2 linked regions of the Oreochromis niloticus genome follow. The protein of the gene in region 1 purifies or fractionates together with the protein of each later gene. This does not show direct contact. Links are inferred from orthologs where the notes say so. Each region holds a gene or a part of one and is shown in the gene's direction. Other genes may lie near its edges.

What was found. The genes of interacting proteins can lie anywhere in the genome.
Region 2: the proteins of nploc4 (region 1) and aspscr1 purify together in Homo sapiens (affinity purification with mass spectrometry; 3 studies listed by BioGRID and IntAct, with this or other methods). This does not show direct contact. The link is inferred for Oreochromis niloticus from reciprocal best matches to the Homo sapiens genes NPLOC4 and ASPSCR1.

What each region holds. Positions count from the first base shown.
Region 1 is NC_031973.2:3,598,346-3,606,111, reverse strand, and holds the start of nploc4 (nuclear protein localization protein 4 homolog), read left to right. Parts: upstream 1-4,757; 5' UTR 4,758-4,953; coding exon 4,954-4,968; intron 4,969-5,594; coding exon 5,595-5,675; intron 5,676-7,766. Other genes in the region: oocyte zinc finger protein XlCOF6.1, read right to left, coding at 503-1,674, 2,600-2,711. UniProt on the Homo sapiens protein: The ternary complex containing UFD1, VCP and NPLOC4 binds ubiquitinated proteins and is necessary for the export of misfolded proteins from the ER to the cytoplasm, where they are degraded by the proteasome.
Region 2 is NC_031971.2:32,711,762-32,719,659, reverse strand, and holds the start of aspscr1 (tether containing UBX domain for GLUT4), read left to right. Parts: upstream 1-4,898; 5' UTR 4,899-4,946; coding exon 4,947-5,036; intron 5,037-5,259; coding exon 5,260-5,315; intron 5,316-5,766; coding exon 5,767-5,881; intron 5,882-7,898. Other genes in the region: inactive palmitoleoyl-protein carboxylesterase notum1b, read right to left, coding at 47-99, 917-1,278. UniProt on the Homo sapiens protein: Tethering protein that sequesters GLUT4-containing vesicles in the cytoplasm in the absence of insulin. Modulates the amount of GLUT4 that is available at the cell surface. Enhances VCP methylation catalyzed by VCPKMT.

The sequences.
Region 1 (7,766 bases):
TGAGCTCATTGATTGTTCCATGCAAAAGTTTTATGGCAATATTCATTTTAATGGAGAGAAACAGAATATCGACCAAAAATCCAGAAAAAAACAAAAACACGTTACATAAAATCTGTAAACTTGTCTGGATTCTGGATCCCATGACTGGAATCTGTGTCAACAAATCAACAAATCAATACATTACTGATAGTTCCGATCTCACCTTAAGCACAGCTATCCAAATAATTAATTTCTGCCATTACAACCTCTGGTCTGACCCAGGGCATTGGAAAGTATTATAGTATTAAAATATTAAAATACAATCTTATTTAGATATGACAAAACAAAGCTGGTATTTTTTTAATAGAAAGGTAGAAAAATATCTCACATTTCTCCTTTAAACATTATAAAAAGCTTTTACAAAAACATATTTCTTTCTCCAAATCAGGAAAAACTGATCGTTTGTTTTCCTGCGTGTCGCTTACCAACACAAACCACACAGTTAGTCTTCGTGCAGTTTTTGTTATATGTGGCCTTTCATGTGCTTCTTCAGATTTTCCTGTCGTGAAAATGTTTTACGACAGGCACTACAGGAAAAAGGTTTTTCTCCTGTGTGGACAACCATGTGTCTCCTAAGGTGTGTGTTTCTCTTATAACGTTTCCCACATTCATCACAAGCAAACGGTTTCTTTGTTTTGTCGCACACAACAGCGTGAGCATTCCTGCAAGCGGGTGCATGTCTCATAAGGTGTGCCCTTCGGTAAAATTTTTTATCACAAATATCACAATGAAATGGTTTCTCTCCCGTGTGGAGCACAGTGTGCCTCAGCAGACTTCCCTGTCGTGTGAATCTCACGCCACACTGACCACAGCCAAATGGTTTCACTTCTGCGTGCGCGCTCATGTGCACGGTCAGATCACCTTGACGTTTGAATCTTTTACCACAAGTGCTGCAACCAAATCGCTGTTCTTTAGTGTGAACTATCTTGTGTGCGTTCAGAATTGCCTGTTGGTAGAACTTTTTACCACAAAGACTGCAACTAAACGGTTTAACTCCCGTGTGAACTTTCACATGAGCTGTCAGACCACTCCGATTACGAAATCTTTTACTGCATTCATCACAACCAAATGGTTTCTCTCCTGTGTGAATTGTCATGTGGCTGTTAAGAGATTGCTTTTGCTTAAACTGTTTCCCACACTCAGAACAGCTAACTAGATTTTTACAATCAGGTGCCCTGGTGTGCTTCCAGCTATTGTCAGTACCATCAGTTTCAGTTCCAGAATCTGATAAAGTTGTCTGCCAGTCTTCATCTTCATCATTATCATCATCAGTACTGACTTCACTCTCAAAAGACTCAGAAGCCTTTGTAAGAGGTGAATGAATGTCTGAATCTGGGTTCTTGGCAGGCTGTGGTCCTCCACAGTCGTCTTCATCAGTTTCTGTTTTCATCTGTTTATCTGAGCTGCTGGGTGGAGGCTCTGCCTCGCTATTGTTGTTAGTTTTGCTTTGGTGAAGCTCTAAGAATTGAGGTTTTTCTTCTTCATCTTCGCTTTTTACAGAAATAAATGCCTTTCCCTCCTGACTGTCCCAGAGTTTTTCCTGTTCCTCCTTTATGCGGTGGTGCTCTGGGACCTTCTGCTCCACACTGGGACTCCATTCATGAGGCATCTCTTCTTTAATCAGCTGCTGGACATCTGCACGAATAAAACACAGTAAGCACATTTGTGCTCTCCATTCAGAGCTATTCTGTGTACATATATGTACACAGCCCTGTATTCTCTGTTTAACTGCTGAAGAAAGAGGGAAAAAATAGTCATCAAGGCAAACATTTCAGCTCAGCAGCCACATAAAGTGTGCAGCGTAATTGTGGTAGTGCAATACTAAAGATTTTGGTATGGCTCCGAGAACGAGTAAATACAGGGTCAGTATTGCCGATATTAATATCAATACTGATACTTGTAACACATAATGCAGCTTATTTAGGGGAGTGCAGTGTGTTGGATAGTACCATTGGTTAACATAATAAAACACAGCTTTTTTTTCTCCAAAATAATCAAGATGTGCCTGTCGCTAAAGCACTTTGGTTCAGCTAGTGTTGTTTAAATCTGCTATAGGCTATAAATAAAATTGAAAGATTTGCACCTCTTAGTGCATGTTTGAGCTATACTGAACATATAAGATAGAAACAAAGTATCAAGGCTATCACACTTTTATTGACCCAATACCAATATCAGCGTTGGTACACTCATACAGTACACACACACACACACACACACACCTGTAAATACTGGCACAAATCCATAAAGCGAATGTTGGTGCTTGATTTATAGTTTTTATATTTTACATTTGAGTTACGGAGCAGCTTATTCAGCCATTTCATCTTAAAGGTGGAAACGCTGTTTGTTCGGTGAGGTTGAACTGAGATCACCCTGCTGTGTGCGCGCCGTAAACCGTCCGGGTGCTGCGCTGCAGTTTCCGTTTTGGAACATTTGTGAACCGAGTCAGATTAACAGAGGACAGTAAGACTTGTTGCTGTGGAAATCTCAGCCACCCCTACAACAGGTTAGCATCACGCCAGCAGTTTGCTCCATAAAATCAAACATCCGTGATTTCTCTCACCTGCGCTTCGGTTTATTTCGTCCTGCAGCTTTAGGGCTCCGAGCAGTTGCATCTCCGGCTTTTCTTCAGGATTTTGATCGCTGTGCTGTCGAAGATCATCCGCTTCGTTCATGCCGACCGCTTTTTCTGCTCTTCTTTAGTACAAATTAGGCCGTTTCTCAGGGTGAAGTTTGGCATGTTTGTTGGTACTGAGCAATGCCCCAGTGGTTACCGTGCGTAATTGTAGCTCAGTCAGTTTTTGTGTTATCCTGCAACAAGGAACTGAAACTGTACAACAGAGGAAAATACCAAAAGTTGTCTTGTCAAAATAAATAAATACAAATAAAAACTGATATATTCACTTTAAAAAAAAAAATCCAGTTTTTCATAATCTTAATTAGATTATTTTTTGAAAAGTCCGGCAACACTTTTCATTAAAAGAGAAAAGGAAAAGCTCTTTATTCTGAATTAACACTGTAAAAGAGCTTCTAGACTTGAAAGATTGATTTCATTATGTGTATTCACATTTCTCTTTGTGTTGGGGAGATGAGCCGATGAACATCCTGCTTTTATTAAGAATGAAGTTCAGCTACTTTCGGCTGCTCGCCCACAGCTGCTCGCTCCGCATGTTTGATTTCTCTGATTTTTATGCCAGATGCTGTGAAGCAACCGCCCCCAAGGGAATGGTGTCTCATAATTTATAATCCTAAAGGCTGCCACAACAGCATCAATGAAACCAAATTATTGCACACATTAGATTAATTTTGATCGTTTTGTTACAACTCACAATCTTCATCCATAAAGCACATTCCAGAATCAAAAACATAACAAGCAGAATTTATAACAACAGTGTGACATTCATAAGTGTAACAAATTGTTCCTCTACACGTGGCTGAGCTATGAGGTCTGCTGACAGAGCATAAGCCACAAGGTTCCTCAGATAAATGAGTTCCTCATCAGTCTTGTAGGGATTTAGTGATAACACCTGTTCTCTCATTCTAAGCTGTTTCTGTCTTTTCTGTGGCCTCACAAATATTCTGCATATGCAAAGTACATAATGTCACGCAGGTACTGTGGTTTGTTGATGTTCCCTTGATGTTGAGGGAACATCTAAGACCTATATGTGTCACTTTAACTTCATAATGAAGACATCCACATTTAAACAGGGGGTAGGTACTTAAAACAAGCCAAAACAATAATAAATGAACAGCGTGTAAAACTACGGGTATTGTTATAATGGGAACTTTTTTGGATTTAGATTATAGACAATACATGTCAAATACGAGGCTCAGTGCCAGGAATCATCAAATTAATTAAAAACACATTGATTTTTTAAAAATTAATTTATTTGAATAAATGCTGTTTCTTCTGTAGTGATGGTCTGGAAAGTTTAAAACATTTTCATATCTAGATAAGTGTATCACATTTAAAATACAGCTGTTTTACATACATGAATGAGAGAGATTTGGTATCATAAATTATTATACCCAAATACAGCTAGTGTGAGGAAGTGTAAGAGTGACCACAATGATGGTTTAAAATGTACAAAACGCTGCAGAAAGTACAGTAAGTAACATAAAATCACCCTCCTTTGAACCTACAAATAAAAAAATAACTATAAGTAACTGTTTGAGACATAAAACAGCAAAACCTAAGCAGAATATAAATTGACTGATTACTGACTACTCAGTCCATCACATCTCCTTTAAATGCTTAATTACATTCCTGTCCCTTTAAACACTGTACAAAAGTTTTAAAAGCCAGAAATTCCATATTTTCATACCATAGTGTTATAGAGTTTAGGGTTTGGGCTACTTTTCATCATCATAGACCAGACGGTAGTTTTATCCATCCCACATGTTAAAACAATGCCTCATATTTTATGATAGTGATTTTTTTATGAAAAATGTTAGTTATTGTTAAGAATTCAGAAAGCAGAATAAAATTAAGATAATGTTGTGCACTTACAAGGAGGGCTCAACAATGCTGTAGTGAGCCTCTGAACATCTCTGAAAATGTTCAGTGTGAAAGGAATATTTTGTATCCCATCTTTCAGCATATTTAATACTAAAAAGGATCTGACTCGGGGGGGCTCAGGTGGGAGGCAGTAACTGACGGGAGAAAAAGAAAGAATGATAAAAGTGGAACCCTTGTTTCTAGCTTAGTTTCTTTGTTTCGACCGTGGTCGCTCCGCTGTGGGATCGATGGGGGCGCTAATGTGTGCAACACCCGGTGTTTGAGTTGCGGGATGGAGTTTCGCTGACATACACACACACACACACATATACATACACAGCAGCGCTACGGGGTATTTGTTTTGACCCTGTCTGTCCACTAACAAAGCCAAATCTACCGGGCGCACCTACCCGAGCAGCATGGCCGATAATATTGTAAGTACAGCGGAGGATGGGCTCCGGCTAACGTTAGCTAGCCTGTTAGCTGGACTCCTGAATGATGAGGCAGCAGAATTAGCTTGGCTAGCATTAGCCAGCTAACATGAGCTAAGAGTGACCAGGGCCTGTTTAGCTAGCCGGCTAATATGATAGCTAGTAGGCTAGCTGACGACATCCGAATGAAAAGAGTCATTGTTGGCTAACGGGAGAGCGACAATAACGGCCGGCTTAAAATGACTGGCATATTCTTTCATCTCTTTAGCATGACAGTAACACGAATAGCTCGGTAACGATGGGAGCTGTGATGTTGCACATTCACCACGAAAGTGATATTTAGTTAGTCTGTGAATGAGCCAGTACACACTGACAGCTTTCCAGAGTAGTTCAATGTCAACATCGTCATGTTGCAGCTAAAAACTAGAGGTTGATGAGCTGACGTTAACCCGACTTTTCTTTCTGCACTGTCACGGTTGTCATAATACCCCGACACTGACACCGGAGGGGGGCGGAAAGGGGGGGGGGCTGCGTCCTGGTTTTGACTGACAGGTGTTTGAAATGCTACAATGGATTCGGGCTTGTACTGTAACGACTGAATTGTGGGTTTATTTCTGTCTCTCCTTTAGATCATCAGGGTGCAGTCCCCAGAAGGGATGAAAAAAATTCCTTCTACAAAGAGGGAGACAGCTGCTGCTTTTTTAAAGAAGGTAATGTGTTAAATATAACAGCACTCAAGCATCTTGTTTTCTTCTCTACTCTAAGGGCTGGTTTCCAGCCTCAGGATTTATCAGTTTGGCCTGGCACTCCAGTATAAGGGGGTCAGTTCAGCCTTTAAATGAAGGTGGTGGCTGACTTCTGAACAATGCAGGATTTTAATTAGTCATGGCTGCTGCTGTCCTCTTCCCTAAGCCTCCCCTTCTGCCTTTTTATAAGAATCCCTGCTGACAAACTCACCGAATAGCTAAGAAAACAGTTTAGTTAAAGACTTCTAAACACATTATAGTTTTAATTCAACTGTAGATAGTATGCTTTATTTGATGTTTGCATAAGATAATGGCAGTAATCTGTGAATAGTTGTCCAGCAGTTACAAACACAATAACATCTAAGCCTGGGCCATCATATTCTGTTCTGCTTATGACCTCCTTGGGTTTCCGAAGGCATGGGAGAAGATGAGGGAGAGTGAGCTCAAAACAGTTTTTTCAGATGTAAAGGAGGGGAAACAGGTATTTTCTGTAGCTTGTGTTTCCATAAACTGCCAAGCATCAGCACTCCTTCACCTCAAGGCTTTGTCAGCTCATCGTCATTATTTATTTTATGGAAGTAGTAACACCGTGTCCTCATACAGTTGAAAAGTCACAAAATTCGGAGTACCATCCTAATCTGCACGCCCTCCCTCACTTCATCTCCAGTTCACAAAGATTACCCATGTTTGCTGCCTTCAGGGTACAGTGGTGCCACATTGTTTTAAATTGCTATGCATTGTAAAATTAAGCAAGAATAATAGGCATAAAATAAAATGGTCACAGTTTTCTGGCTGGAAGAATGAAAGGCTATCTTAAACCCCTAAAAGACTTTGATCCAATTGAAATCTGGGAAAAAACAACTTTTTGTTTTGACCTTTTGGTGATACCCTGTTTCAAAAGCGGAGATTATCTGCTCTCTCATTGGTTATTAGACCCATCACATGCAGTTACTTGTGGCCAAAACAGCAGGATTGTTGCTCTTGATGCTTCAAAACAGGTCTTTTTAAACCAAAGGGTGATGATATGTTAGTCATGTTAATACTGTCAATCATAAGGATGTACTGATATATGATCCAAATATAGTCATTAGCTGATATTGGCATATCAGCAAGTAAGATGGCATTTATCCACATCAGTAGCTGATATTTATCTGTTGTGTCACATCAGTCGTGTGCTGGCAAAAAAGCAAAGAATTTCCCACTCTCTGCTTTCCTCCACACCAGAACTGGATCCAAGCCTTCTGTACTTTATTTCCACAGTACACTGAAAACCTGTGCAGGCCTCTTATGTTTTTTTCACAAAGAAAACTGATTAGAAAATGTTTTATCTTTAAATCAGTACAGGAGTGTTATGTGTTGTTGTGGGCTTTGTTTTGTTTTTTTTCCTCTTCTTGTGCCTGTACATACATGAAGCTGTGTAGGAAGTAACAGAGCAGGTCGGTCCTTTGTGGACTGCACAAGGAAATATGTGTTCAGGGAGTGTGTTAGATGTTTTAGAGTCCAGGCATTGCTTCATATCACAGAAGGCACAGATAAAAGTGTGTAATCTGATTTTTTATAGGACTTGAATTTTACTGAAGGCCTGTTAATAATTTAATCCACTTCCCCAAATCTACTGCATAAAATACAGGAAATTCTTGCACCCATTTACAGCTGTCTGGTAATGTTGAACCCAACATTTGCACCAGTGCTGAATCACTGCTGAGCTGGACTCACATCAGATTTGGACAACTCCTAATCTGATGTCAGTCCAACTCTGCAGAACTGTGAACGCCCTTTGGTGTTTCAAGAAGTTTGGCTGACACAAACAGGCTTCAGAGATGTGAATTTGAAAACCTGCAAACATGAACTGTAAGTTAAAAATTTAAATCTAAAGACCTTCTTTACCAAAAAGGACAGAAGCCGGTGAAATGACAATAAAAAATGAAGTGATCTGCTTGATTTGTAAAATATCAGGTGTTCAGGTGAGAAGTATCAGCAAAACAAAGATAGAAAGTTTTAGCAAATTGACAACAAACATGGTAAAATACAATGTAAGTAAGTAAGAATAAGAGA
Region 2 (7,898 bases), on another chromosome or scaffold:
CACTGACTTCCCCGTGTTGTCTGAATCAGGTGTATTTCATCCTCACCTTCCAGGAACAGCAGCCACCTCTTGCTTCCTTTTGACTCCTTGATGTAGTAACTGCACAAGAACAGCAAAACAAAGCAGCGTGAAAGCGCTGATGTATTCACACATTCATGAATGCATTCAAACAGTCTCCACACACTGGGGATGCTTCCTGTTATCCTGAACTGACAGATCTGGCTCTGATCACTAAGCTTCTCTGTAGGAGCCAGGGTACTGCAGACCCGCACATGTCCGGTTGTGTTTTTTCACATAGCGACAGGAAACTCACCATGCTGCTGGCAGCACGCACACTCTCACACTTGATGCGGGTGGTATATCGAAAGATTCATCTCATTCACAGCGATTTAATTCATATTTTGCCCACAATATATTCTAATTTACACCTGGAACAGAGTTTAAAAACTTTGACAATGAGTGGAATTAACTGGTGATTCGCACAGGTGGGAAACTGATTATTTTATTTCGTCCAGTGTGGAAAACCCTACATTTGAAATGCCATAAATCTTTGAACTATCATTAGTTATAATCTTTGTTGTCATTACTCTTAATTTTGCTTTATCGTAAAGTCGCCAGAACAAGGATAAATGCCCCTCTCTCGTCCTCGCTCGCGCCCTCCCTCTCGTGTACGCGCTAATTTGCAGCGTGCATGGCGCTCTCTCTGATCTGATCCTTTGATCCATTTTGGTCACATCCGGAGTGACACGGGAATGGAGCACACGGAACTAAACTAGTAGTAAAACGCAGATCGGATGGTGGGTGTATCTACCCCTCCGTGTCTCAGATTCTTACCAATTAATGACAAAACTGTGGTTTTAAATCACGCCTGAAGGTCATTAAGAAACTATGAAGAATCTGCAGGCCATTCACTTACCCTGCAGGTGACCCGTCGTTGCAAGTCACAGACACGTTCTTCAAAAAGTGCAGCTTCATGTCCTGATCCAGCTTTTGCGCAGAGCACGGATAGAGTGACTGCGCTAAGTTCTTTATCTGCACTACAAAGTTGTCCATGTTGCCCTCCACAGCTGTGAAGTCTAACGGGAAGCTTTCTGCTCCTTCCACCCGCTCCCTGTACGGCGGGGGCGTCTGCTGCTGCTGCACCCTCCGTGTTTGCGCCCGACCGCCGCGCACTCTCCTCGCCTCCACCGGTGCGCTCAGGTGGATGAAGAGCAGCAGCAAGCAGGAGCGCACCGCGGACAGTCCAAATGAGTTTCTCGCCACACCACGGCTCTGCATTTCTAATTATTTCTGGAGAACGTTCCTCGCGTGTGTGCGTGGGCTCTGAAGAAAACACAGCATATCCTATGAGTGGGTAGATCGACAGGAAGTTCTTCGAAAGCGCACGGAGTCTTCAAACAAACGATCTCCTATACCAGCAGTACTGGGTAAAAACAGCTTATGGGTCTCCATGGTGCCCTGAGAGATGGGTATCTGGATTCAAACTCATGCAAAATGCGCGTGCAGTTCCAGTTCATTTCCTTAAATCGCGCGCAGTTCGTCCAGTAAACGGGTTCTTCCGTGCGTAAAAATATCTGAAGTTTCGTCCAGCTCAGTCTCACCAGTGACCTGTTGCCTTTTGGTTCAGGTCTTATAAGCTGCGGATGAAGCGGGAATTTATTTGAGGTCCTCCCCCTCCTCCCCCCGTCCCCCCTGCCTGCCCCCGTGCTTCTCACTCCCGCGGGCCAATCGTTATTATCGTTGGCGGATGCTCTTTGCGGGGCGTGGGGCTCACACCAAGAGCGCGCGTATGCCTGGCACGCCCCCTCAGTCGGTTCACTCATACCCCCGGCCCCTTTGATGTTGTGTCATCATATGACCGCGCTGCCTTTGAAGTGTCTTTGATTGAACATGGTGTGTGAGTAAAAAACGCAGTTGGACACGCCGTTCCGCTGCAGAAGGTCACGCCACTGATGCACATGTTTTGCGGCTTTTTATGCGCTTCAGAATTAAACTGCATTTTCTTTGTGTTTGTTGCTCAAGATAGATAATCAGATAATCTTTTGGGCTATTTCACAACAGAAGATAAGGTCGCTGGAAGTTTTTAAATCATGAGTGTGGTATGTGTAGACACAGCGATAGGGCGAACACACTAAGTCACACTAAAGCATAAATCAACACTTATTACTGACACGTAAAATATTTAAGCTATGCTTGCGGGATGTGAGTTTAAGATTATTGTGTGACAGTTATTAACTCTGTTGCAACTGTTGACTGTATTGAAGACCTTTGACTCATCCTTATTGTAAATGTGAGCCAGCGCTTCATCTGCTCCACTTTTTACTTTTCCTTTACAACCATTTTTTCCAAAACTGACTTCTTATTGTGTCGTTAAACCTCACAGATACATGAACAGAATCCCAAAGCAGTTTGAGAACTGGCACTGGCTGGCCTGGTTGGAGAACTCATCAGTGGTGTCAATGTCATTTTATATGTGACCAATTTAATTTCAAGTGTGCTGGGTCAATAAAAACATTGTATGATTCCCCATTAAGACAATCTTTGTCAGTATGAAGTGGTTTGTGTGTTCTTCTGTCGGAGATCTTGTTTTCCAGCCACTGGAAAAATAGAATAGAATAATTCTGCACATCTAGGTTCAAGAGAAAAGAGATTCTTAATCCCTGAAAGCTTCTTTTTCTAAGAAGATGGTGAAACTTGGATAAAATGAATCATTCGTACAGCCACTGCAATCATGTGATTCATTTTAACCACTTAAAACAGAGGTTAACTCCTGGTGAAGTGAAAGGTTCTCTGAGATTTTCACATCTTGTTAAGCCATCCAGGAGGCCAGACTGGACCTATGGGTGGGACACATGTAGCCCATGAGCCATATGTTTAACACCAGAAAGCTATTTTTGCCCATATTGTTTCTTTTACATCTGCTCATCTTTAAACGTCCCCATTCATTCACCAGATCCACCGTCCTCTGATGTCTAACATTCACACACTGCCTGTAATTTGATTTCGATCTTTGATGGGGTTTTTTATGATGAAAGGAACACTTAAAAAAGGTCTCTCAGCATGTAAAACCCACTGCAGATGCCTTTATAAGTTTGCGCTCTATCCAGACAGTTTTGAAGTTTCAGTCCTGCTGAGCGAGGAAGGAAACTGATTGTTTGTTTGTTTGTTCAGATGGTGGCAATTTCCCACTAGGACTGAGAAGTGCATTCATTTCTGTCTGTCTGTCTCTCTTTCCCAGGTGGACTTTGTCTTTAAATGTTGCTCTTGAAGCAGTCAGTCAATCAGTCAGTTGTTCGGCCTCTTAAGCTCTGGCCTCACACCTCTCCATCTGTTGGCACCACTTGTCATGTTGTTTGTCTCGTCTTATTCCAGCTTTGATCCAATTTGATCCATGCTGAGAAAAAACAGCCTTGATTGTTGTTGCTCAAACTGCATACATACAGTACATTAGGTTTTCCATATGGAGAGCAGATTGACTGTGTGTGACTGTGTTGTGGTCAGTTTACAGACAGGATCAATTTCCTTCTCTCATGAGGCCAGATTGTGTTTTCTTATTATGCTTTTAAGGTCAAGGGAAGAGTAATGATCTTCATATTGTTTTTAGATGCACACTGTACAATACAAGCTGCGGAGGGTTTTTTTTTTCACAGAATGAATAGATAGATTTTTTTTTACATTGACTCTGATGTTGTTAATCCACTCAAATTATTTTTTCTAACACACAAACGGATGTGTAGAAAAGACCTTTCCAAACTTAAGTCTCCCCTTCCACCTAGGTTAATGTAGTGACTGTAAATTCCATGTAATTCACATCATGTTTATAATTCATAAATAATTCAGTTAGCTGGATTTAGACAGACTAGTCAATAACCCTAACCCCTTTGGTTTATTCTGACAAAAGGGAAAGTAAGAGTTGGCATTAATATGATTAATGAGGTCTTATTTCTATGTAAGTGCTCCAGTAAGTTGTTAAGTAAGCCAGTATACACGGTACATAACATGGGATCCAATAATAAAAAAATACAAATTACAATTGTATGCATCTGTTAAATCAGAAATTTAACACTAGATTACACTAGTTTCAAGTAGACAAAAATTATTTCCCCCTGGGAATACAAAATATAGACCTTATAATATCACACTGTCCCAATGGAGCAGTTCAATCTCTAAAAGCAGAGTTGGAGGCAAATCCTTCAGGTATCAGGTTAGCTCCCAGTTTAGGTTCAGGAAACAGACACCCTCCCTACTTTTAGATTCGGCTTCAAACTTTCCTTTTTGATAAAGCTTAGCGTTTGGGATGGATCAGATGAGTCTAAAGCATCTTAGTTATTCTTTTATAGGTTCAGGCTGCTGGGACACTTCCCAAAAATGAGTAGACCATTTCTTCTCTAGTCCACTCTTTTCACTCCTGATGCATTTACATGGCACTATCGCATGGCATTAAATTGTGTCTACCCTCTCCCATAGCATGTGTTGTGTTTCTGTCTCTCTGTGCTCTTTTTGAGACAATGGTTGTTTGAATTGGCACCGTATGAATAAACCCAAACCGAACTGAATTTGGTGTTATAATATTTCACTGTAACGTTTTTTAAAATAAAAGACAATAAACTACTAGCCAGTCTAAACTACAGTAAGGCTTAGTATATGAATAGATAGTACAAGTTGTGTTCTTAGTATTTTATTTCATGTTGTAGCACTTTAAGAGACAAGCAGATGTCTCTTAAGTGCTATTTGACTATTGCAGTGGGACGCTAAAACATTGTGGGGGTTATTTCTTCTTAATTTTTTAAATGTTTGTATAATTAACATTATTTTGTTTGGATAATAACGCTCATAAAGGTGAGACGAAGAAAATCTTAAAAGTTGAACGAACTGCACCTTTAAGTGATGCCGCGACAGAGTCAATAAAGCTTATTCAAACAAACATTGTGACGTCAGGACACGCAATGGCTGCTAGTGGCACAGCTGTAACGGTTCTCACTCCCAATGGGAGAAGGCAAACAGTTAAAGTGGCTCCAAACACGCCGTTACTGCAGGTGAACTGTTATAGAGGAGCGTTTCATCTTTACTTAGGTGGACGGCTTATTGAATTCTGCGCTTTGGTTATAGAACCGGACTAAATTCCTTCCCTCCGAGTTAGCTTGCTGGGCTAACAGTTGTTAGCCAGTGACTGATCAGTTTGTGTTTTCGTGCGGATGAAATCAGATTATTTGGGAGATTTTGTGGCATAACTCGTGTTGTAATATTTTCCGCCTTCAGGTGCTGGAGGAAGTCTGCAAGAAGCACGGATTTAACCCAGAAGATCACGGTTTGAAGTGAGCAAATGAACGTAGCTGTATATCAGTTTTTGTCCCTTCAGATTAAAAGCCTTTCACCTGGATTACATCCAAATACACTTTAATACATAAACAATCGCACTGGACAGTAGCGGAATAGTAATATGTGAAATATCCGTTTATTTATATAGTTAAAGAAGTTAAGCAAGTTAAATGTTGTAAGCGATTTTCACATCTTGTACAACTCTGTTTTGGTTTCAGATCGTGTTTACTTATATTTTAAAAATCGGTGTCACTGCAGGAAAAAAAGAAACAAGACAAATTATGTGTCAAAAAATGAAATCAAATTGAAATTTGATAACTGTTTGTAACTGTTTGTACTGTCCTCAGGCTCATACATCATTCTTCACAGCTGTCCAGCTACTCCACATGAAACATTTAGTCTGATTTAATTGCTCTCTTTCTTCTCCACTGTGAAAATTTTTGGCAGGTTTCAGAGGACTATTGTTGACCTGACGCGGCCATGGAGGTTTGCAAACCTGCCCAACAACGCCAAACTGGAAATGGTGACGAGTACGAGGAAACAAGTTATAGCTGACAGCCAGGTCAGTTCAAACAAAGTGCAACTTGGGGCTCAACGTTTAGTCAGATTTTAATCTCCGTTATGATTTTGCTCTCAAATTGTTGAGAAAACAAAATAATCTTGACCATCTTCTTTGCACAGCTTTCATTTAGAGTGGTGTGTTTTTACTCTCCCTAAAAGTTCAGCTTTTAGTTTAACCCCAACCAGGGTGTCTATAATTCAGCTTTTGGCTACAAAGATCTAATCAAGGAAGTAAATCGTTGAAGGTTTCTTATGGTGAACATGTGAAAGAATATCACTTAATTGGAGCTACCCCAAAGAAGAGTTTGTGTCTACTCCTGACCTCAAACTAGGAATCTTTCGTAGTTGAAGAAAATGCCCAGAAAAAGACACTTTTTAAACTCCAGTATCTACGCAGTGTCTCTTAATCTAGTGAATAATGTGCATATTTTAGAATATTGACCAAATTTATCATGATTACGACTTTTCCTATAAGCAAGCAGCCTTGGTGCATCTATGTATATGTGGGTGTTAGAGAGAGTCAGAAAGGAAGAAAAGTCTCCAAAACCAGTGTTTGGAGACTTTCCTAGCTACGCCATTTTTTATTTTATGTTTTTTCAGATTCATGGTGTGCATGAATCAGAAAAAATGTGGAAACAATTCTTTTTACCTCAAGTCTGATTGCAACACAAAACATGCTCTTAATAAAAAATTATTAAACAAGAGCTCATTTCCAGGATCAGCATTGCCAGAGTCCTTTTTATAGAAGTACCACAACTCGGTATCCTTTTTGAAATGCCTCCAGTCATTTATGTGGGCAGTTATTTGAAACACCAGAGTGAAAAAATATCTGCTTAACTTATTTTAAGTGACTTTGTCTCAGTGAAACTTTGCCAGCCTTTTTAGCCTTGAGTGGCCAAGGTAAACATGTTCAGAACATACTTCTTTACCAGGGTTTTTCCTGTATATGGTAAATGGTAAATGGCCTGTATTTATATAGCGCTTTTTCTGGTCCCTAAGGACCCCAAAGCGCTTTACATATCCAGTCATTCACCCATTCACGCACACATTCACACACAGAAGTGTTTGTGCCCAGCAAAGAGATTTTAGCCTTCCATTAGAGAAAGCTCACCAGGACTTTGATTTTTGACATGTTTTATGTAAGTGGGGTTTAATTAAGTTAAGCTTGAATGGCGCGTTTGTTTTTTAAATAACAGGCGAATGCGTAGACTTCTGTTAAGAAAGGTCACATAGGCTATTTGCCTGGCGTGCATGTTGTTCAATAAATAAAATTAATTTGAGTCCCCTTAGGGCTATTTGTCCCACTCATGATCATGTTTGAATAGCCTTAAGTAGCTTCATGTGTGGGTCAGTCAGCCCCGTGTGTGGGTTTCTTTATTGTCCGTACCTGGAAATGCCTGAATTCTCTGTCACTGCTCTCTCTCTGATTCCTATCCAACAAAACACTTTGTTGTAGCTGAGCTGTAGTTTCCTATGACATCATGGCATCATAATCCATGCTGTAAAATTCACGGCTGGGTTTGATCTGCTGTTTTTGTTCATTTGATGGATGGTTGACTGTTGATACCTGGCAGATTTTATACAGACGCACACACGCAGGCACCTCTGGGGCAGACTGGTTTGTGGGAGTGTTTCGTGTTTGACCGTTGACAGCCAAAGCCCTCGTTTCATCTCTCCCGGTGTGCTGACATGCAGCGTGCTTTCTGTGCCGAACAACACCGTTGCAGAGTAAACAACTCGCAGAGTGACTCAGAGAAAGAGCAACAGAGACTTGCACTCATGTCTGATGTTACTTATTTTCAGGCTGAGGTAGGCCCACATGTGCAGCTTAATCATCTTTGATTATCAAAGAATTTTCTTCCTGGTAAATGTATCAAGACTGATGAGCCAAGAACTTACAAATGACCACCGTGGGGGATTTTCAAAATCAATTCCTTTTCGGCATTTAAGGAGATGTTTGTGAGTCCAACAGCGTGAAGTGCTTGTACTGTAGATTTTATTACTTTTAGCTTCTGTCA